Regions from separate parts of the Mus musculus genome. Here region 2 is reported to be linked to region 1. Evidence: microRNA targets listed by miRTarBase, many of them from high-throughput screens and not tested one by one. Region 1 holds a microRNA gene; the other region holds the end of a gene's coding sequence.

Region 1 (3,000 bases):
GTAGTGTGTATGTGAGAGAGTGTATGTGTGTGTGTATGTAAGTGTGTTGTGCCTGTGTGTGTATGTGTGTGTGTATGTGTGTTGTGTTATGTATTTAGTATGTGTGTTGTGTTGTGTGTGTGTAGTGTGTGTATATGTAGTGTGTGTGTGGTGTGTGTGTGTGTGTGTGTGTGTAAGTGTGTTGTGCCTGTGTGTGTGTATGTGTGTTGTGTTGTGTATTTAGTATGTGTATGTGTGTGTGTTGTGTTGTGTGTGTGTAGTGTGTGTATATGTAGTGTGTTGTGTGTGTGTGTGTGTGTATGTGTGTAGTGTGTGTGTGTGTGGGGGGGTGTTGGGGCAGGGGCATGCCGGGTACAGTAAATTAATGAAACACTCTACTTCTGCCCTGTCCTTCAGCTGCCTTGCCGTTGCTGCCTCCCATTGAGGCCCTGGATAAAGTCTCAGCCAACAAACACAAGTGCAAGTCCGGCTGCCACTGTAAGAAAGATAGGGCTGAAGAAGACATTCTCCCTCCCTCCCTCCTTTAAAAATGACTCGAACCTTTGGGTTGTTTCCCAGCCGGGATCAAGAGCGAGTCTTGGCCTTTAAATCAGCAGACATGCAGGACCCTCCTGGCAGTGCTGGGGTTAACACTGTGACCTCCTTACAGCTGCTGAGGAGTCAGGGCTAATTTTACTCTCCTATCGGGCTCTGCCCAGCCTCATATTGTCCAAGTGCTGAGATATGTTGGGAAGCATCAAGTCAGCACTTCTGCCGGCCCAGGAGGCTGCGCGGGCCCTGCTTTTTGCAGAAGGCAGAAAACCAGTGACTGCCTGCTGCTCGGCTCTGGAGCTGGGCCCTGAGAGTTCAGGGGTGGGGGTGGGTGGGGGAAGGGGCAATAACCCAGTTAGTGCTGTGCATGGGCAGAGGCTGTGATGCTGGCTTGTTCCCCGTTGTCTCCCACCCTGACGCATCCTGTACTGAGCTGCCCCGAGCTGAGCACAGTGAAGGACCTCGGGGCAGCTCAGTACAGGACCCCTCAGGGAGGGCGAGATCAGAGCTGGCTGCTGAGGCTGGCTCTTGGGCACTGCAGCCTGCTGAAGATCTTCGTTGCGTAGCCTGGCCCACCCATCCTTGGCCCCCGCCCTGACGCACACCCCTCACACACTAGTACAGCCGTTAGCCATGAAGACCTTCCTCACTTCCAGGGAAGATTCTACCTATGCCTTGGGTCTGCTAACTTAGTTCCTTCTCAGACATCAAGCGAGCAGCCTTGTTCTCAGAACAGTAATCGAATTAAAGCTATGGCAGGTTAGGACTCCAGTGAGCCTTAAGGTTTATGTCTGGCGTGCTTTCTGACCATGTGTAGTGAGATAGGCTCAGACTGTGTTTTGAGCACTACTTCAAAGCACTATTTTAACATTATACTGGTACAGTCAGGCATGGTGCTGCATGCCTTTAATTCCAGTACAGAGGCAGCTGGATCTCTGTGGGTTCAAGGCCAGCCTGGTCTATTTAGCAAGTTCCAGGACAGCCAGGGCTATATAGAGAGACTCTGTTTATAACTAAATTGCACAGGGACTGAAGGTGTGGCTCAGAATGCCTATCTCTGGTCCCACCCCCCTAACACAGCCAAAAAAGACAAAAGAAAATATAAATAAGCAAAATAAACCCAAGCCCCTGATTTTGTGTACTCTCCAGCAGACTGGTGTCAACAGAGAGGCACAGGTCTGAAGAGGACGTGGAGGGGCAGAGACAGTGGCTAGTTTGAGGAGTGGGATTCTGAGAGTCTGGTTTTAACTCTGAACTGAGCTAGTAGTGCAAGGATGGGGTGGGTTGGGAGCAGCAAGCAGCTACCTCATCAAGGACCATGCCAGCAAGGACGAGAAAGCCACTGTTACCTCCCAAGGGGCTACTTGAGGAGAGGTCACTGCTTGCCCCTTTTCAGGCTGGCCCGCTTCACTATCTGAGCCCCCTTCCTGCCCTCTATCAGGTCCGGCTGGAGTCCACTCCCTCTTAGCTCCACCTGGAGACAGCATCAGAGACAGAAAGTAGGAAATCACACAGGCAGATGAGCAAGCTCGGGCAGGAAGTGAGAAGGGTCAGGACAGAGAGGAGTAGGAGGAGGAGGAGGAGGAGGAGGAGGAGGAGGAGGAGGAGGAGGAGGAGGAGGAGGAGGAGGAGGAGAAGGAGGAGGTGGGAACACCATCTGTCCGCCAGAAAGGTAGCCAGGGGCAGCATTGCAACCTGGAGCAAAGTAGAGGTGAGGCGGAGGTGAACTTGCTGCGGCCTCCAGGGGCCTGCAGTGCCTTGGTACCTTAGTAAGTTTCATAAAGGACTCAATATCTGCTTCCAGATCCCCAGGGTCTGCCAGGGGACCCTCGACAATCACCTCCTCGTGCTGCTGGGTGTCGATGGCACCAGACGAGTCTACCTGCCGGACGACTTTGCGAATGATCTGGAAAGAGAGGGGAAGAGAAGGAGAGATGGTCAAGTCGTCAGGACAACATTTGAGAAGAACAGGGCTCCAGCAGAGGCACCAGGAGGAGAGGCCATGGCTTCCTGTCCCCCGGAGCCAAGAAGAAGCCTTTCTCTGCTGTCATCTATGGGGAATGTCGGTGGGGCTTGGACTGGGGAGCACGGCTGGCAGGGCTTCGGCAAACATTGGCTTGGGCACGCGCAGCGCTGCCTCAGCCCTCCGCCATCCCACTCTGTTCCTTGGAATGGATGGAAGTTCGGTCTGACTATCGTGCCTCTACAGTGCCTAAGGACAGAGGCAGGCAACCCTTCTATCCATGTGCGTCTGCTCTACTCACCTTCTCTGTGTCCATTTATCCAGAATGGGAGGTGAACATAAACCATGGCTTAGGCCTTTAGGGAGGGGCAAGGACAGACAGGGGCCATCATTCCTTATGTGAACAGTGGTCCTAGTGAGTGGCACAGGCGCGCACGCGCCATGTCCTGCTCTCTCCCATTGCCTCATGGGGCAATGTCCGCCAAGCAGCACAAGCTTATCATGTG
Region 2 (3,671 bases), not on the chromosome of region 1:
CCTTCTCCTCCTCCTCCTCCTCTCAAAGAACTTTCCACAATGAATTTATTGAATACAGTCTAAATCTAATGAAGGCAGCTTTCTCAAAGTTGCACACATCATTCTGGCAAATGCAGTTAAAAGTCAAGTCAGACTATAACACCCTGACAACAAACATCTGAGCCAGGGCAATCATCTTCACATCTGTCATAGTCCAAAGCAGTTAAGTCAGCTATCACATCCCCGTGCTGATGATCCCACTGATTCTGCTTTCCTCTCTTCCTCACCACTCAACTGTATATATAGAGTTATTAGATGGGGACCTGAGAAGTCTTCATATTTGTCCTTCTTGTGTAGGAGTGTGTGTGTGTTCAGGGCAGATATAGTTCAGGAGAGTTGTCCAAGAGTGACAGAATTAAGAGGAAATATGTGTTAGGTGAGGAGATTTGATGAGAAGAAAGGAATTTTCAGGAGAACACAGTAAGTGAAAGTAGAGGAGAATTAATTAATCAACAATATTTCAGTCTTCATCTTCCTTTCCTACCCAGGTTATTAAGGCTGCAAAGCCAAAAACTGACATGAAAAGTGTGGAGTGAAGTCACCTCATTTGAAAAACCTTTTCCTGAAGAATCCTGATGCTGCTCCTTGAACTAGACTGAACTACCTGAGGATAGCATTTTACAACCTCATCATCATATTGTATTACTTAGAAAAGGACAAATACTCAAAAAACATCTGAAAAATATATGTAAACTTATTATTAATTAAGTTATTAAGACTGCCCAACCTGGGGATCCATCCTATATACAACCACCAAACCCAGACACTATTGCATATGCCAGCAAGATTTTGCTGACAGGATCCTGATATAGCTCTCTCTTGTGAGGCTCTGCCAGTGACTGACAAGTACAGAAGCAGATGCTCACAGTCATCTATTGGATGGAACACAGGGCCCCTAATAAAGGAGCTAGAGAAAGTACCCAAGCAGCAAGTGGTCTGCAACGCTATAGGAGGAACAACAACATGAACTAACCAGTACCCCCCAGAACTGTGTCTCCAGTTGCATATGTAGCAGAAGATGGCCTGGCCGGTCATCAATGGGAGGAGAGGCCCTTGGTCTTGCAAAGATCATATGCCCCAGTACAGGGGAATGCCAGGGCCAGGCAGCAGGAGTGGATGTGGGTGGGTTGGGGAGTGTGTGTGGGGGGTGTTATAGGGGACTTTCGGGATAGCATTTGAAATGTAAATGAAGAAAATATCTAATAAAATTGTTGCTTTGTCTAAGGTTTGAGATATCATTCTTCTCTACATAGACACTGAGGGTATAAGTATGGCGGGATTGCAGATGTGACAGCAGGGCCTTGTCGGAGAGACGCCTGTGGGTGATAGAGAAGATTGGTGATATATAATTTTTTAATTTAAAAATTTTAAATTTCCTTTTGGGGAGGAGGTTACAGGTGGAGGAGGGTGGGTATGATAGTACTAAGAAATCAGTGATATTGGGGTATGTGATGTGAAATTCCCTAGCACTCAATAAAAGAATTATGTTTTTAAAAAGAAAGATTGTTGATAAATAAATAAATATGATTTTACTCATGATTCAGAAAGTTAGAAAAAAGTTTGTGACTGTTCTATTTTTATTACTTATTCCATTTTTGATATCATAATACAATGATACTATTTCCCTCTTTCCTTTCTTCCCCCTAAATCCTCCCATGTACCATTCCTTGCTTTCTTTCAAATACATGGCCTTCTTTTTCATGAATTGTTGCTATAAGCATATATGCATATCTACATATATATATAAATACAACCTGCTCAATCTGTACAATGTTGCTTGTATGTATATTTTCAGGGATGACCATTTGCTATTGAATGATTAATTGCTGTGCTTTTTCCCAGAATAGACTGTTCTTCCAATAAATAATGTTAGGTAATTGCAAAAATCACATTTTTTTTTAGATTCCACCCAGAGAGCTGAGGTTGTAGTACAAGCACATGAGAAAAACCTAAGGAAAGACAAACATCTTCAGAGAGTGAGGAGAAGGAAATATTTCTACCTGGGGCAGGTAGTGCATACTAGACAACTCACAAATTATAATTAAGTTAAAATGTTAGCAAATTAACCAAGATTGAGTTTAGTGGCATGAGAATGGAGATCTTCTGAGAACCTCCACCATAAGGAGAGCTTATGCTCATTTTCAGGTACTTTCCTGGGTGGGCATGAGAAAGTCTGGGCACATGCCTGGGAAAGATGAGCCGCTGAGGGAAAGGCATGAAGGTCTCCCTTGAGGTCCTCATATATGATAAAATTTCTCTAGTGTTGCAGGATATTTAATTACACAGTGAACCTCCAGATTGTGTTGTTTACAAGAAAAAGCTAGGCACAATTGAAGAAAGAATGAGCCAGAGGATGAGAAAGAGCTAGAAGGTTAGAACACATTGCCAAAGTTAGTTTGAAGCCATCAGAGAAATTAAGAAGCTAAGGGAAGCCATATTGAATCAGGCTGGAGAGGAATTTTGAGTTTGGAAGCTAGAAGCTTCCAGGACTAGACCTAGGTTAGTAGACAGAGGCAGTAAGTCTCCAAGATGACTATTACCTCTTGTGAATAAAAGTTACTCTTACACTCTAGGGGAAGAGAAGCAACTCTTACTCTTCATGGCAAAGAGACCTGTTATGGTTTGTATATGCACAGCCCAGGGAGTGGCACTATTAGAAGGTGTGGCCTTCTTGAATTAGGTGTGGCCTCCTTGGAGTAGGTATTTTTAAGACCCTCATCCTAGATGCCTAGAAGCCAGTATTCTGCTAGCAACCTTCAGATGAAGATGTATAACTCTCAACTCCTCCTGCACCATGCCTGCCTGGATGCTGCCAAGCTCTCATCTTGATGATAATGGACTGAACCTCTGAACCTGTAAGCCAGCCCCAATTAAATGTTGTCCTTGTAAGACTTGCATTGGACATGGTGTTTGTTCACACCAGTAAAACCCTAACTAAGACAGGAAGCTTTGAAACAAGGGGAAGGAAAAATTGTTCTGCTTCTGGAGCAAAAGAAGGAATAGGTTCTAGGTATGGAATACTAAATCTTCCAACATGTGGAATTGTGTAGAATTAAGGATGAAACTCCTTCATACTTAGAAACACACATGACTCAGTGTTTGCCAAAGACAATAGATCAATAGAACTGTTGTCAGCTGAACAGATCAATAGAATATCCTCTAGTCACTCTACAATTTTTTTTCTTTTTATGACTCTGCTGAACAACCATCAGCTAACAGCTAACTGCAGACAGCTTCTAGGAGACAGTCATGTAAGTGCCTGTGCTTATTTTCCAGGTCCAGGTCACCTGATATGGTTGCAAGGAATTAAGTCAGGCCAGGTTGGAGGGACCACAGCCCAATGTCACAGGTGTGTCAATTTCATTGAGAACAATCATACTTTTTATATCTTTATCAAAAGCAGAATATGGTGAAAATTTCCAGGATCAGTATAGTTGTAGTTTCCCGGATACAAAGATCTTTGCAAGCTAATTACCTTCAATATCTGTGTCATATAAGTGTTTACCTGGAATACCTTCCAGTAACTCTAGACACATAAAAGTGAAATCCAGGGTTTGCATTTGGAGAATTCCTGAGGAATCATGGGTTGTGAATAAATGAATGGACTAAGATGACCCACATCCCATGGCTAA

Evidence for each region. The annotated mature microRNA mmu-miR-486b-5p reads UCCUGUACUGAGCUGCCCCGAG and lies in region 1 at 993-1,014, opposite strand. An mRNA with a match to its seed (bases 2 to 7 or 8) in the 3' UTR can be bound and repressed. Matches are read on the target gene's strand: a 7mer-m8 pairs with bases 2 to 8, a 7mer-A1 pairs with bases 2 to 7 and ends in A, and an 8mer does both.
Region 2: the mRNA of Aim2 is a reported target of mmu-miR-486b-5p. Seed matches in the 3' UTR shown: 7mer-m8 at 1,120-1,126.

Annotation. Positions count from the first base shown.
Region 1 is chr8:23,140,601-23,143,600 of GRCm38, reverse strand. Mir486 (microRNA 486) reads right to left here and starts at 1,046; the gene lies at 919-1,046. Ank1 (ankyrin 1, erythroid) reads right to left here. Exons shown (of 44, transcript NM_001110783.3): 42 at 2,372-2,437; 43 at 1,881-2,005. The coding sequence ends at 1,907. Gm15816 (predicted gene 15816) reads left to right here. Exons shown (of 6, transcript NR_169137.1): 3 at 397-477; 4 at 2,336-2,776. Mir3107 (microRNA 3107) reads left to right here and starts at 939; the gene lies at 939-1,028.
Region 2 is chr1:173,464,444-173,468,114 of GRCm38, forward strand. It overlaps Aim2 (absent in melanoma 2), which reads left to right. Exons shown (of 9, transcript NM_001013779.2): 9 at 528-1,597. The coding sequence ends at 575. Among named protein-coding and RNA genes, the nearest start is that of Ifi206, 25 kb to the right of the region's middle.